Drosophila melanogaster: one gene and its partner. Each later gene encodes a partner of the first gene's protein in a complex. Each region holds a gene or a part of one and is shown on either strand. Other genes may lie near its edges.

Region 1 (7,885 bases):
GGCAATCGGATCCGGAGTTTGTAAAGATTCTGAACCACCTCCGAATTGGCCATGTGAACGATTCCATAACCAGTCGACTTGCAGCTACATCAAAGCAGAAAATTGAGGGAAACGGCATTCTGGCCACTCAACTCTGCTCCCACACAAACGATGCGAACTCCATTAACGAGTCCAAGCTGGAAAACCTCGATGGCGACAAGATTTTATTCAAGGCTGACGACTCCGATGCCAGCATGACCAGGACACTGGATCAACAGATCCAGGCTCCATCTCAGTTGTACCTAAAAGTTAACGCCCAAGTAATGCTACTCAAGAATATAAACATATCCAATGGACTGGTGAACGGAGCTCGAGGCGTCGTTGTAAGAATGGAGAAGGATCTGCCAGTGGTAAGGTTCAAAAACAACCAGGAATACGTTTGCAAGCACGAAAGGTGGATAATAAAGACCGCCTCAGGAAACCATATAACACGACGCCAAGTGCCACTGAAGTTAGCCTGGGCATTTTCCATACACAAGAGTCAGGGACTAACCCTCGACTGCGTGGAGATGTCCCTTTCCAAAGTATTTGAGGCTGGACAGGCCTATGTGGCCTTATCCCGTGCGAAATCCCTGCAGTCCATTCGCATCCTGGACTTTGACGCCAAGCAAGTGTGGGCCAATCCACACGTGCTGCAGTTCTACAAGGGATTCAGACGCAAGCTAATGGACACAACCATGATACCATTGGGTCCCAAAAACAAGGACAAGAAGCCAGGAGACAAGGCCGCAAATAGCGCTCTGGCTAAGCTCAAAAAGAGTCTCATCAACAAGCCGCTGGTCTCGATTAGCTGAGCTCGAAAGTAATCTAAGATAGCGTAATTCTAGAAAGCTTGAACAAATTTCACTATTGCCTATCTATTGGTATCTATTTCTAAAAGTGTAATTTTTTCTTTTTTTAAGAAAAGCAAATGATTTATGGACTGTGCATTCCTTTTTTTAAAAAATGAGAAATTATGGAACTCTTTTTGAAATTGTCTAAATTTTCGAAAAAGTCTGAAGAATTACAGTGTGAGTTTTATGATTTATCACTATATTCTGTAAACTTATTGCAGTACGCAGGCAAAAACTTTATTTTACTCACTGGAACAACTTAACCAAGGCTCTTAATCTTGAGAACTATTAGTTTTAAGCTAGTCTATAGCCAAAATTCTATATCAAACGCCAATATTAATATTTATTTTAAGAAAAACATGACTAAGAATAAATGCAACTAATAGACAAATGAATTGAAACTGCTGTAGTAATAAATAATTCCTAGTAGCTCTTACCTTATAATTTACACTGAAACAATTGAAAGAAAGCTCAATCCTTGGGAATATCGTTTTACGGCGTGTATATTTTGTTTTAACGGATAATGAAACTAGAAAACATCATCATAAAAGCGGAGTTTAATGGGCGGCCTCCTCCTTCATGCCACTGCCCACTGGTCCATGACGACGCTCCCAGATCAGACGATGCTTCTGCTTCATGTACGCGGTCTTGGCATTGGCGTAGCCTCCCAAGTCGCCATCTATAATGGGTTATATCTCGTTATATATCACATACAACTTTAAAGAAGATGGGTAAGGGATTCCACTCACACTTGATGAACCAGTTCTCGGTGGCCTTCTCGTACTGATCCATCAGCGGCCTGCACTTGACCATGTGATCGGGTGCCTCGTAGAGGGTGCAGTCCTCGAAGCGCTGGCGCAGAATGTTGACAATCTCGTTGTCGACCATGCGATCCCGGCGGAACTGCTGATCGGCCTCGAAACGGCAGACGGCATCGTCCGTGTAGCACTGGTCGATCGTCGGAACGCGGCGGAAGCGCTGGTGGTACCAATTCTGCTTCTGCTGGTTCGGCTCCACAATGCTCTCTGTGGGATTAACACAAGGCGCATTAATAAAATATACTAGCTGTAATGCATTTCTGTTGAAAAACATGATCCCGCTTTGACTAGATGAACTATATAGTAACGGACGGCATTTAAGGGCTGCCGACTAGTATTCTAAGAGATTTAGTTTGCGCTAGCTAGAAATTACTTAAAACGGTTGATTATAAACATTTTAGCATTTCAGCAATACAGTGTAAACAAAAACAAATGGACTGCGAGTTGAGGTTATGTCATTATGTAATTGTCTGGAATTTGTCCGGTTTTTCCGATCGTTGGCCAAAGGAAACGCAAACTTGCAGCATCTGGAGACTCCCATGACCATGGCCATTGGGAATCCCTGTGGACTACATACCACGGAACCAAGTTATGGGTCCATCGATGACATTCAGCACCGACTCGGCAAAACTGGCCATCGGACTGCGCGGTTCCGGCATTTTCTGGCTCTCCTACCACCTGGCGTAAGCGGAAGAGCTGTTAGTAAATAATTTCCAAGGTTTTCCGCTTTCCTTTGACGGAAAATACTTAAAAAACCATATTTACTTGAAAAACTAAGTGTTAAAATTTGTTGTAGGACCGCAGTTCGTAACTGCGAAAATTCCTCAGAGCACTGAAATCAGCTGTTCGAGGTAGTGGTCACACCTATGCCGCACTGCAGCTAGCATGTTCGCACTGGCACACTGCGGTCACACTGGCTTCGCTCAGCAAAATATTGCTTGGGTAATTTTTTTTTTTAGTTGCTAATTTATTGTTTTCAACGCTGTTGCACAGTGTGCAGCATAACCATTAACAATGACTTGAGACCTCTCAAACGTAAACCAATTTTTTTTTTTTTTTTGCACGTGAAACATAGTGATAACGAAGCCACAAAAGTGAAACCAACAAAAAGCGTTCCAGTAAAGTTACCATTAGATAATGAAATCGAGGATTAACGCGGTCTAAGCATGTGTAACTGAGCTCCTACGGGCGAGGAATTGCAGGTAACTAGCCCAGGAGGCACCAGGTAGCGGAGCAGGTGGCGTGGGTCGGACCGACAAGGCACTTACTTGGCCAGCGGAGTCTCACTTTTGGGCTGAAAAACGTAAACAAACAGCGGCGTGCGTACAGTCCCGGGCATAAAAATATAGCCATCATGGCCCAGACGGCATACTTGAAGGTGACACGCATCGCGATGCGCTCCGCTTCGAATCTTTCCAAACGGCGGGTGGAGGAGCTGAACTCCGGGCTCGGCGAGCTACGGCAGCTGCTGTCTTGCGTGGTCTGCTGCCAGCTGCTGGTGGATCCCTACTCGCCCAAGGGCAAGCGGTGCCAGCACAACGTGTGCCGGCTGTGTCTGCGCGGTAAGAAGCATCTGTTTCCCAGCTGCACCCAGTGCGAGGGTTGCTCCGACTTCAAGACCTACGAGGAGAACCGTATGATGGCCGCCCAGCTACTGTGCTACAAGACGCTGTGCGTCCACCTGCTCCACTCGGCATTATTTGGTGAGCTGGCCGGGATGCGGCCCCAGGTGGCCAGGGAGCTGGTGCCTCGCATCAAGCTGCCTCCCAAAACCACACAGGAGTTCATTCGCGAGGGCTCAAACATCTCCGACACTTTTGACATCTTTCTGCCCCAGCCGGATTTGCCGTTCCTCAAGGACATGCCCACATCGCTGCCCGCAGAGACGCCGCCTACGTCGGCGGTCACGACTCCGGAACTGCCCTATGATCACCACCTCAACATCAGCGACATTGAGGCGGAGGCGGCGGCCACAGCGGAGCAGGGTCACTTCTCGCCGCTTCCCCTGCTGCCCACAGGATCTCGCATGGGCATGCTCTCTCACGCCGGGCAAATAGTCATTGCCACCGAGAGCTCGGAGTCGGGCTTCATGGACCAAGCGTGGACGGATCAGGTAGACCTGTCTGGCACGGTTTCGGTGTCCAAATACACAAATAGCGGCAACAACTTTGCTGTCTCCTACGTGATGCCCACTTCTGCGACCACGAAGTTCGATCCACAGGAACTGCAAATCGGCCAGGTGGTGCAAATGGCGGACTCCACTCAGTTGGCTGTGCTGGCTGCCGTTGAGGAGACCGTCGAGACGTCCACACAGTTGACTGTGCTCTCCACCACCGTTGAAGAGACCGTTGAAACATCCACGCAGCTAGAAGTGCTTACCTCCGCTGAGGAACCCAACGAAATCTCTGATCAATTGGCTAATCTGCAAGTTGAGGAATCTGATGAGGCTCTGGTTGAAGAGACCGTTGAAGAGGCCGAAGGGACCTCAATCCCGTCAGAGGTTGTAGCTGAGCACATGGAGGAGGATCAACACTTGGATGTGCACACTTCACAGTCACCTACACAAACCGAAATGGAGGAAGCAGTGGAGGAGCATGTTGCCACAAAAACACAATTGGGTCATGTGCAAACAGAATTGCAGGATGCGGAGTCGTTGCAGAAAGATTTTGAGGACGCAAAGGCAGCGGCTGAAGAGGCGAAGGAGAAGGAGAAGGACCTGCACGCAATCAGTGCTGAGCTGCAGAAGGAGGACAGTGACGAGCCAACACTTAAGCGAAAGAGAACCCGTACTCTCAAAGCGTCACAAGCTGCCAAAATTGAGCCTGTACCGTCTGAGGTCAAGACTAAAGTGCAATCTGGAAAGGGCGCTCTTCGCAGGATTCGGGGCAAGGACAAGGAGGAAAAGGTGAAGCCTCCGAAGCCGAAGTGCCGCTGCGGTATCTCCGGCTCGAGCAATACCCTCACCACCTGCCGGAATTCCCGATGTCCTTGCTACAAGAGTTACAACAGCTGTGCCGGGTGTCATTGCGTGTGCTGCAAGAATCCGCACAAGGAGGACTACGTTGAAAGTGATGAGGACGATGATTTGGAGGATTTCGAAATGCCGAAGGACGTTCCAGAGCCGATGACTCAGTCGGAGGAGCCGGTGGTAGCTGAGCCTAGGCAGGAGGAGAACAGTATGGCGCCGCCAGACTCTTCTGCCCCCATAAGCCTAGTGCCGCTAAATAATTTGCAGCAATCCCAGCATCCTTTGGTGCTTGTTCAGAATGAGAAAGGCGAGTACCAGGGTAAGTTACCTCATCGCTGTGTTAGACCTATCTAACCCTGTTCCAATTGCAGGCTTCAATATCTTCCAGGGCAGCAAGCCCCTTGATCCGGTCACCGTTGGCTTCACTATTCGTGTCCAGCTGCAGCACACCGATGGCTTCGGTTCCCTTCCCCAGTATGCTTATATAATGCCAACAATTGACCCGCCGAATCCACCAGCTCCATCACTTTCGCCACCACCGCCTCCTGCTCCTGACAGGGAAGTCATCGAGCCACCGGCCAAGAAATTCAGGACCAGTCGAACACGCCGAGGAAGGGCCAACTTCTCGGCCCTCGACACGGTGGATGAGCTTGTCAGTGGCGGATCCAGGAGCAATTCTGCCGCTGGCGACAGATCATCGGCCACTGACAATGCCCATTCACTGTTCGAGGAGATCATGTCGGGCTCGGATGACTTGTAAGCAAGACGACTCATCCCTATATGTTTGTTTTTTTATGTGCTCAGTGATGTCCAGGTATCAATCCTTTAATAGATAATTTTTATGTACGTTATGGATGGTCGAATTCAGCACTGAATTGCATCCATAACGTGGTATCGTCTTTGATCCTCTTATCATACCCGTTATTCGTAGAGTAAAAGGGTATACTAGATGTGTTTCCGACCATGTAAAGTATATATATTCTTGATCAGGATCAATAGTCGAGTCGATCTGGCCCTGTCCGTATGAATGTCTCGATCTCAGGAACTATAAAAGCTAGAAGGTTGAGATTAAGCATATAAATTCTAGAGACATAGATGCAGCGCTTGGTTGTTTACCCATGTTGCCACGCCCACTTACCGCCCAAAACTTCCACGCCCACAATTTTAAATTTTTTCTCATTTTATTTCCCAATATCTCTTGGATATCCCAGAAAAATGATGAAATTTCGCGTTCGTATTTCCACTAGCTGAGTAACGGGTATCTGATAGTCGGGAAATTCGACTTTAGCATTCTCTCTTGTTTTTAACTTGTGGTTTCGTTATGCTATATATTCCCCCACTCAAACAACTTCCACTCAAATCAACTCCCAAATATCTTTTAGGAGCATTCTACAATCTGATTTTTGTAATCATCCAGCAAACGTTTCCAAAACTCAATTTTTTTTTAATACGTATTAAGCCAAAAGTCGTATACATAACTATTTAAAGCAATTCTGCAGCTGCAGCAAAGATAATCTATTTAAGAGTAAAGCATTAGTCAAAACTAAAGATTATTTTCGTTCAACGAACAGCGAATTATAGATTGCTTTGCCCAAAATGTGGATGCTGTGAGCTAAAAAAAACCTTTTTTTTTAATAGGCTAAGACATTTTTTTGAATAGGCTAAGACTTTTTTTGAGCATGAATTTTTTTGAGCACGTGAACCTAGGATTAAGAACAACAATTCAAGTAAGCCATATATACCCATATTATATATGCGAACATATAACTATTAAAATATTCAAATAAAAATGAGCATTGCTACTACAGAAAAATGCGCGATTTTCTTTGGGTTTCAAAACCGTTTTCGAACCGTAACACTCTTTGCCTCATGCAAGCTGCTAGTTCATGATTTCTAGAACATCGTTCCTGGGAGTGGAGTGAGTTCCATGAGTGCCTACAATGTGCTGGCCGCTTCCGCTCACTTAAGTCACTCAATCTCAATTCCGAGTTTAATCAGCAGCTCCGCGAGCAGAGTCGCCCTTAGATAAGCGGATCGCCGCCTGCGGCTCATCATTATCTTTTGATTAACGCGCCAGTCGACAGTGCGTGTTTGTTCCGAGTAGAGAACGGAGGCTGGCGCGTTTTCTTCCATTTTCCAACTGATAAGCAGAAGCTCCAGCTAATCCCCGAAAGATGAAGCCGTTGATAGTGGTCGTGCTCGTGGGCCTGATGGCAAGTGGCTGCCACATTGTTCACTCCCAGGAGCCTGGCGATGGTAAGACGAATTCCAGTCTGAGCTCTACCGGAACTAAGCCACTCATTAATGACCTTTGAGCAGCTGTGGAGCAGGAAGCCAGCGAGTCGGATGACGCACTTAAGATCAAAGAGAGTCAGGCCAGCATAGCCGCCCAGGTGGAGGCCATGCTCGTGCACTTTCAGCAGGAGGATCCGCAGGGTCTGCCCGGCGTGCCCGTGCCCGATCCGTTGGAGGTGCCCAATGTGAAGAAGAGCATGGGCATGGCCAATCTGGACATGAAGCAGGTCAAGGCGTATGGCTTGTCCAAGTTCCGCATTGATAAAATGAACCTAGACCTGAAGGAAATGAGAGTAAGTTTTCAAGTTGAATTCGAATTGGCTTGAAGTTTCCACTCCTCTGTCCTGCAGTTCAACGGTGGCCTCCAGCTGGACCAGATGCTGGTCAAGGGCCAGTACACCCTCAGTTCATTCTTTTCGAAAGCCAATGGACCCTTTACAGTAGTCCTGAAGAATGTCTATGCCGAGGCAACCGCCTTCTTGGCCGTCGAACGAGACGGTCAGCTGGCCACGGACCGCATCAAGATCGACATCACATTCTCGGACATGACAATGGACTTCCAGAACCTCGGCCTGGTGGGCAGTGTCTTTCAGAGCGTGGTGAACGGTGCGCCCAACTTGGTCTTCGACGCCATGAAGCCATTTATGCTCCAGGAGGCGGACAAAAAGCTGCGCAGCGAGATCAACGTAATGATCCAGAAAACCTTGGGCGAACGCCGACTGCCCAATTCCATAACGCCGCTGGACAGCGCCATTGCCATGGCACGCAAGATGGTTCGGCAGAAGGGCTTCGATCCGTACCACCTGCCTGATGTCAATCGCACCATGGGCGTGTTCAGTGTCCAGTTAGCACACACCTGGATCAATGGAATCTCTAGCTTCTACCGCGTGGGCAACATAACCGCTGGCATGGCCAACAAAACGGTGTCGGTC
Region 2 (8,959 bases), about 15 Mb from region 1:
TGTAAATACTCCAGCACTCCATATAGTTTTTTACACCCGAATCCTAACTTATTATTCTCGGTCTCCGACTAAAACGTTTGAATAAAGATACATGTGTAACACTAATGCGAGTGGTTTTAATACGATTAAGGGTATATTTAAAGTGATATTCATCAAAGATCGAAGTACAGAAAAATCAATTTAGATATTAAGTACCGCGCATTAACTTTCAACGTAGCTTATTCATTTATTTTTATAAATTATCCTTTGAAAATTATAAAAATATGCGTTTTTATATCATAAATATACACTAACTTTTACTTCCGCTCTCCTGCTGCTGCTTGGCCTTAAGTCGCTCCTGCGCCAGCCTGCGGTTTTCCGCAATCCTGGCCATCTGTTCGTTGGATAATTTCTTAGCCGCCGGCGTGGGAGGCTGTGAGGGAGGCAGCGGCTGACCATAGTCGCTGATGTCCATCGATGCCAACGGAGCTCCATTCCGATCGAAGGCCGGAGCCACAGAAGCTCCACTTCTGTCGAAGGTCGCATTTACACCGGAGTACGGCGTGGACATTACAGCATTGCCGCGGGAGAATGACGGAGTAGCCAGCGTGCTGTTACTGGAAGCAGTAGACATTTTCCACTGCTGCGGGCTGGGAGGCGCCAGCCTGGACATGGCAATCTGTTCACCTAGCAGGGCGTCGAACTCATCAAAGGGTTCATCGCCGGCACCTTCCTGTTGCTCATCCTGCGCCTCCTCCAGGGCCTCCGCTTCGTGGGCGCGCATCTGCTCCAGCTGACCGAGTCGATATCGCGCCATGTGCACTTGGAGGGGTTTCTTCTTGCCCAGCCGTTCGATATTGTTAAGCACATCGTCAAAGGTGTAGGTGGGATACATACGATGGCCCCAGTGCTGCAGGCGGCGAAGCACCTCGTCGAGATCGGTTTTCTCGTAACCCTTGCCCTTGAATTTGATGTCCTTAAAATAATCTTCGATGGTCTGGATGCCACGAGGACCTCGAAGTGTTTCCACAGTGAGTCGCGGTCGGGGATTTCTCACAGCTCGCTTCTTAGGCTCCACTATCTGGGCATCCTGGCTACCAGGTTCTACGCCGTTGTCCTCGTCGTCCGCAAACAGCTTTTCGCCTTCGCCATCGCTGGGCAGCTGATCCGGGTCAGTCGGAATGTTGTCATTGAATAGGTCATCCACACCATCATCTCCGAACAGGGATGCCATAGAACTAGTGGCCGAAACTTAAATACCAAATAAACAATCTAACAAAATTTTGGCGCCAATTTTTGTTCTTCTTCTCTATCTACCATTCACAGGCGACGCTTGCATAAGTCACAGGGGGCTGCCAACTGAACAGCTCTTTGTTCTTTTAATTTTCCGATTACATAACTATTTGGTCTTTCCCAAAGGCTATTTTGATTTGCTTAGACATATTTTCATTAGTGGGTGGCACTAAAGGTAATTTGTACAGCCAACCCGGCTTTTGCATTGGTGGCAGCAGACATAAGAGATGGCAGCGTGACACGTTTTTTTTATCACTAAGCGACACATTGGCGTCACGAGTTTTTGTTATTCTATTATATTTATACCATTATACAAGGAAGGATAATTCATCCAAAGATTGTAGTTATTTAAATTTAGTGAAATATTTAAAAGGAGTTGGTAATGTAATAAAATTACCAAAAAAAATAAAATAAAATCAATACATTATTAGCTAGCTAGTTTCTTTTTCATCTATTTTCTCATTCCAATTACTCATACCACATAAAAATTGAAAATAATTATCCGGGGAGCAACGGAAGATTATTATTTACGTTGAGAGAAACTGTCCTCTTTTAACTGCTATCCTTGTGGTCTGGCAGAGTAAGAAATAAAAATGTGTTTAACGACATTTAGTCGGAGTTGACGAGCTGCCGCTCTTTATTCTGGTAACTGCAAATTTAAGCTGAAACTTAAAATGATTCTTAAAGCTAACAAAGACTCCGGCCCAATGCTGTCTCAGCACTTTGATATTATGTTTCATACACTAAGCCAACTGTACTAGTTCGTCGGCTCGTGTTAACTTAGCTATTAGCTATTATGTGCAACAAAGTACAGTTTCGTGAAAATATTTTCACTTCGTGACTGTCGTGCTCAGCTCGTGCATCGCAGCAAATTGCCATCTCTATGCCCCCAATCAACTCTGCGCTTTGGCGAAAAGTGGCAACGCCAGCAAAACGCCATACTTTTAAGAGCATTTTCGGGGCGACTTTACATTGTGAGGACAATTGTGGAAAAAGCGGTGAAAGAACGTTCAAAAACGAACCGAAAAACTGCTGCCTAAATGCGGTCACCACGTGCGATAAGAACGCCACGTTTAAAACGATAAATCCATTAGATTCTGGCCAAGAAAAGAGCGGTTCTTTTGCGAGGGCGAGCAAGGAAAATTTAGTGTGGTGCGAAATTGTAATCGGGATTCTACGCATTGTACGGCGTATCAGCTGAAGAGATTGTGTGCACCCCAAGCGACGCAAACAAAACCAAAACAAAACAAAAACATTTGGAGAATTATGAGATCGTAGGACCGACGGCACGGGATTCAATTCGACTGCCATGGACAAGCGATTCAAGTGGCCGCCCAAAAAGCGGGCCAACTACTTGGAATCGCCCTATCCCCACATACCGTCGCGTGGCCGCCAAAGGAATCTGCACGGCCATCCCAATCAGACGCAGCATCTTCATCAGCATCCCGGGAAGATCTATGAGCGCCAGCAATATGGCAATGGTCGTGGAGGACATGGCGGGGGTAATAACAACTACCGAAAGCTTTTGCATTCGCTGCCAGCTGAGCATGGTGGCGGAGCCATGGCTCCTCCTTCCTCCGGCGGAACCGTGTGTGCCGGCGCCGATATGGTCAAGCTCATCTCGGAGAACAACAACCTGAGGCGCATGGTTATGTTGAACTTAAACCTGATGCAGGAGCAGACGGACAGCATAGCGGCCAAGGACAAGGAGCTGGACGACCAAAGCGCTAAGATGAGCGTGGTGAAGGCGCAGAATGAGGAATTAAAGCAGGCCGTTGCTCAGTTGGAGGCCGCCAACCAGGAACTATGCAAACAGCTGCGGCGAAAGAACCAGCGAAGGAACGACAATGACGACGACGACGATGATCCCCCACTGCCACCTGCTGCCCCGCAGCAGAAGTTGATACGTTGTCATGCTGAGACGCAAACTGTGTTTCGGGAGCGGGAACAGGGCACACAAACGATAGATGCGCAGCCTCAATTCGCGAATGCACTTCCCAGGGGTATCAACATGAAGGAGTCTCCCGCTCTGGACCATCACGCTGGAGCGGTAACGAATCAGCCAGCCAGCAAACGCTCGGAGAGCAAAGGCCGCGGTGAATTCAACGGTAAAAAGGTGAGCACGTTTATTCTCCAGCGCATGAATCAGGACTTCGAGCACCACATCCACGAGCAAACGGAAGTAGCAGAGGAGCACGAGATGGAGGCACATAAGGAGCAAATATCTCAGGAAGAGGACCAACTGGTCGCTGAGGAAGATCATCTGCATATGCAAGAAGTGCACACCGAGGAAGTCGTTGGAGGCGATATCTTTCATGATGCTTTGGAATCAATTGAAATGGAAGTGGTCACCGAAGAGCTGGTTGATATGGAGGAGCATGGACAGTCCGTGGATGCCAACGGCCATATCGAGGAGGATGATGACGAGGACGACGAAGATGACGAGAATAGTGATAAAGACGATGACAGTGAAGAGGATGATTATCCGTGGATGCATAGCGATGCGGATGTAAACGCCAGAACTGAGGAAGAGCTCTGGCAGAATCAGGTATGTTTAATGTTATTATTTAATTAAAAGAATATATCGAGCAATCCTTTACTCTTTCAGAATTACCTTTTGGAATTGGACCCGACGGAGGAGAAGACCTGTGCGCCTTCGGCCCATTCAACTCCCAATCACCAGCAGAAGTCTTCGACACAGGCAGAGATAAGGAAAGAAGGAAATCAGAATCGGATAACTGAAAAGTTGTTGCAACTAAAGCCTGAGCCAATGGTAGATGCATTAGAAGCGCCGATTCTCCCGAAGTGGGTGGCTTTTAAGAAAAAGGATAAGGAACATGAATCAGTCCCCGAGTCCCCAGAAGTACCCAAGCAGCAGCCGCATCAGGAAGATGCCATCGTTGATCATAATGCAATAAAGAATCAGTTGGAAGTTCCCAAGCCGGACTTAAAACCGAAGGACCAGCCCAAAGACGAACAGAGGCAGGATGGGCAGCTGGATGTTCGCGTGGAACCACAAGAGGATGTTCGTAAGGTACAGAAGGAAACTCTGAAAAGGCAACCAGAGGATGCACCTAAGCACCTTCCGAAAGCGGTAGCCCCAAAGGTTACGAAAACATCCTCTCGAGAAAGCACGTTGCCCAAGGCAAACACCGCTGACATAAAAGACGCTCCCGCTCAAAAAGTAATAGCCAACCATCAGTCCACCAAGACGCAAACGGATCCTGTAAAAACGCAGCGTTTGCAGGTTAAGATCAGGCAGTATGAAATGCATCCTGACATGAGAACCGGCTCCTCCGCCCCGTCTGATATTCGGAAACAAAAGAACGTTGATCCAGTTTCGACGCCCGAGACGAAAACCATTAAAAGTAAAAGTATGTTGGTCAATGATAAAAAGACCACGTCGGAAACGTCTCAGAGCCCAGATCAAGAAATAGATGTGGAAACAGTTAGAAGAAAACTGGCGGAACATTTAAAAAAGGAGCTCCTAAGCCAGAGTCATTCGTCACAGGTTACGCTCAAGAAAATAAGAGAGAGAGTCGCCACAAATCTAATATATCCACCACCCAGTGCACCAGTATCCTCAACAACAATAACCCCAGCGCCTACGCCGTCAACGACACCAACGCCTGGCTCAACGCCACAGCATGCGGTTACATCCTCAATGGACCAGGAAATATCTGCAGCAAAATCGAAATCCAAGGCAGCTGAACAAATAGCAACTCCTCTGACACCTCAATCTAATAGCAGTGTTAGCAGCACCACTTCGACTATCCGAAAAACGCTAAACAACTGTTCACCCCACACGTACAGCAAGGCAACGGCGAGATCGGGAAAACTGCAGTCCAGATTCCGCACTGCCACGTTTCCGTACAGCACGAGAACGTGGGAGGATCAGGAGTTCCACTGTGACAACGAGTTCTTCCTGGAGGAGGCCGACGAGCTGCTGGCGGATAACCCTAGTCTGGAGATACCCAAGTGGCGGGATGTCCCAGTGCCACCCAGTTCGGATAAAATTGACACAGAATTACTGAGCGATGCGACCTTCGAGCGCCGGCACCAGAAATATGTGAAGGATGAGGTCGATCGAAAGTGTAGGGATGCACGTTATATGAAGGAGCAGATACGGCTTGAACAGCTTCGGATGCGACGGAACCAAGACGAGGTGTTGGTTGCGCTGGATCCTCTGCGCGCCTCCACTTTCTACCCGCTGCCCGAGGACATAGAGGCCATCCAATTCGTCAACGAGGTGACAGTTCAGGCATTCGGCGAAAACGTGGTCAACATGGAGGCGCGGGATGATTTCGGTGTGCCTTGGGTGGATGCAATCGAAGCGCCAACCTCCATAGCCAGGTCCAAGGCACTGGCTGAGCCGGTGGCAACGTTGGCTAGCAAAAAAATACCCACCACTGCTGCCGAGGCGAGGCATCAAGAAAATCACTCCTCCTACGTGTTTCCCAAGCGACGCAAGCGCCAGAAGAATCGTTAGCCAGGAAACGCCTGGGGGATCTGATACTGGAGCTAAGCAGAAGACTGTCGGTTGGGGGAAGTCGTTGCGTTTGACATACTAATGATTTTCAGTTTTAAATCATGAATTATTTCTTAAGCTTAACGTGAAAGCACCAGAGTTAACAGTAACGATTACCACAGATCGTCTAGAAGTCAAATAATCCAGAGCAGACGATGTTTATTGTATATATGGTTCCTCAACTGTCCGTTTTTATTTGTGTAATAAAATGAACGGAACGCTGAATTCTGGAACATTAGAAATTCTTTGTTATAGAATCTATAAATTTATGTCAAAGTTTTGTCGTTTCTTATGCGATGAGAGATCTTAAAAGGCAAGTAAATTGAGCTGTCCTATTCAAACATTTTTCTATTAAATTGTTATCATATTTATTTCCTTGAAATATAAATAATTCGATCTTATATTAGATGTAAATGAATCCAAATGTTCGTCGCCTGGTCTGGAAATGATTAGTTTTTAGTTAACGTCTTGCAATTGAAAAGAGTTTCACCCTTGCTTGTTTCCAATGTACGTAAATTACTTAGTCCCACACAGCATGTAATTCAAACCAGTCGCTTAGTTAGATTGGTTAACTCATCTCAGCTTTATCACCTTTAAAATCGCCCGCACTAAAGTGATAAGAACACGAAAGATATTCACATAAGTTATATTGGGCATTTTTTTGGAGAAAAACAATGAAATTCGTAGACTTATATTTTTAAATATTTTTTTTCTTTAGCCCTTATAACCATTTTTTTTGTCTTTGTTTATACTGTTATATCTGTCGATTCTCGAATGCAGACAACGTGTGTGTTGCAAAGAGTTACTCAGGTATATCTCTGATAATTTGTCTTTTTTTTTAGGATTTGATTGTGTAAAAATTGAGTGCGAGTGGTTGTCTGCTTCGAGTAATCAAATTATACATTGGATCTATTGTTTTATTTTATTAACTTCATTAAACTTGTTTTATGTTGTATCGAACAAGAAAGGCCGTTAAGATGAAAACTAGATTTGAAGAATAAATATAAAACTGATTCCCGAACTGCACACCCGTTTGGCCTTATGGGCACCATGTATTTTTGGCTAAATATTGTTTCGTTTAACACTTCTTCTGTTTGACTTTCTGTCGCAATGATATGGAGCCTGCCAACGTCCGGAGAAATCAAATCACCAGCTCGCTTTCGAGTGGCGTCTTATTTTTGTACATTTCGATAGGTGTAAAGTCGGTTACTTGTAATATAGCGTTAAGTAGGCACTGTACCCAAACGCATAGAGATAATTATAATGTAACAAAGTAAATACGATACGATGTACATTGTCCAGGAAAAGGAGGAGCGGAGGGTGGATGAACTTCGTTCAACACCATTTTACACCATTCAATGTAATTAGCGTTAAATAGTTCAATTTACTGAAGCTTCAACTAAAAATCAATTCGAAATTAATTGCCACCATTGTAGAGCCCTAAACAAACTCACCTACTGTAAGAATAAATGTACTACATACAATGTATTTGTATTTGTTTAACAAGTTTTATTGTAAAGATAACGATAATAATATACAGGATAAAGTAAATTGTAAAGCAACGAAATGCAATCAATACTTGGACTTGCAACTTATTTTGCACAGGTGATATGTAAATGAAATTCTAATAATTGACAATGGGTTTATTTAACAGGCCTCAATTGATTTTCCAATGACCTGGCATCGCTTGCTTCTGGTTTCCTTAGATGTCTTTTTGTTTGCGATCATCTCGATATAAACTTGTTTAGGGGCTAATTGCAAATGTATTTAATATCTTAGAAAATGCTTCATTATACTCTATATATTGGCTGTGACAATTTTATCTGACCCTCGTTACCTAATGGAAAACATAACATACAAAATCTTCAACAACCAGAATAGCTGGATTGAAAATCAGTTAAAATACCTTTAAAAAACGGAAAAGCCTAACGGAATTTTATATTATTTATTGCTCTGCGTCAAGTACTGGTGTCCAGTGCTTGCCCACAGCTCATCAATATCGTCAAAGCTCTCGCGCCACAGCTTCTGAAGGAGCTTCCATCCCTTTTCCTGGGTCACCAGGAGGTACTCATTTGTGGGATGCAGCGTGTGGGTGTAGAGTCCCATTACCAGGCTCTGAACAAATCGGGCAGTAACACAGTACTTGAGAAGGGCCAGCTCGGAATTCTCAATTGGGTTCAGACTGGTATAACCGGACAGAAATATGCCACCATTGGCCAAATCGTTGGCCTGCAGTATCATATAAGTGAGGGCAATTCCAATTTCGAAGATCAGTGGCGATTTGCTCGTATCACCGAAATCAATAACTCCCTTGATGGTATATTCAGTTTGATTGGGCACCTGCTCCACCACTATATTTTGTTCGTTGAAGTCCCCATGGATGATCTGGTGCTCCATGGATGGCAGTTGGCTCAGAACCTTGGCTTCAAAGGCATCGATCACCTCGTCGCAGATAAGCCGCTGCTCCTGATCCTTCACCACGTACAGGAATTGCCTAAGCTCGGGAACACTCTGAAGCATCCACAAGGTCTTGTGGCTTTCATATGCCTGGTGGGTGAAGTTCTTGAGGGCTCGATCCAACCTGGCCAAGTATTCGCCGCTGCGGTAGAGCAGGTGCTTCGTCACCGGCACCTGGTGGAAGATTTCTCCCGGTATAAATTCCAGCAGTCGCACCACATTCGAATTCCCATTCAGCCGTTCCACAGAGTAATACTTTCCTGTTGCATTGGCTACTGGTCGTGGGCATTTCACACTGTGTTTTCCTAGGGAATACGATTGCATTGTCAATTTGCTGATGATTTGGCTAGCAATTCTTACCCAAGTAAAGCAGCATCTGGTTTTGGGCATCCACGAAGTCCTCTTTCTTAGAGTCCAGTGAGTTGAGGATTTTCAGGACGTATCCGTGTGGACAGTGGGTTACAATGAGGGGGTTCTTAACATTACTGCAATACGGAAATGTATTCAATAGGAAATTACTTATCTTAAGGAGTAAATAAAAAATGAGGCATAACAAAGCGCCACATTCATAAAAATACAAAATAATATCTGTTAGAAATATTGAATTATTTTTAAAATCCAAGTGTTGGATAATGATAGACATATGCGTTCCATGTGAATGGCAATTCGAATTTTTTTTATAGCATCGCACTTTGGTCACAC

The links.
Region 2: msl-2 (region 1) and msl-1 share a complex: the UniProt entries of both Drosophila melanogaster proteins name them as parts of the male-specific lethal (MSL) histone acetyltransferase complex.

The regions. Positions count from the first base shown.
Region 1 is NT_033779.5:3,460,799-3,468,683, reverse strand, and holds msl-2 (male-specific lethal 2), read left to right. Parts: upstream 1-2,571; 5' UTR 2,572-2,632; exon of another isoform or gene 2,633-2,765; 5' UTR 2,766-3,044; coding exon 3,045-4,977; intron 4,978-5,029; coding exon 5,030-5,418; 3' UTR 5,419-6,466; downstream 6,467-7,885. Other genes in the region: Pif1 DNA helicase, read left to right, coding at 1-833; ND-PDSW (NADH dehydrogenase (ubiquinone) PDSW subunit), read right to left, coding at 1,430-1,551, 1,622-1,897, 2,268-2,349; CG3246 (uncharacterized protein), read left to right, coding at 6,833-6,914, 6,978-7,246, 7,304-7,885. UniProt on the Drosophila melanogaster protein: Limiting component of the male-specific lethal (MSL) histone acetyltransferase complex, a multiprotein complex essential for elevating transcription of the single X chromosome in the male (X chromosome dosage compensation).
Region 2 is NT_033779.5:18,682,048-18,691,006, reverse strand, and holds msl-1 (male-specific lethal 1), read left to right. Parts: upstream 1-2,206; 5' UTR 2,207-2,581; coding exon 2,582-3,820; intron 3,821-3,880; coding exon 3,881-5,761; 3' UTR 5,762-7,287; downstream 7,288-8,959. Other genes in the region: CG10336 (uncharacterized protein), read right to left, coding at 290-1,213; CG31751 (uncharacterized protein), read right to left, coding at 7,742-8,562, 8,618-8,742. UniProt on the Drosophila melanogaster protein: Component of the male-specific lethal (MSL) histone acetyltransferase complex, a multiprotein complex essential for elevating transcription of the single X chromosome in the male (X chromosome dosage compensation).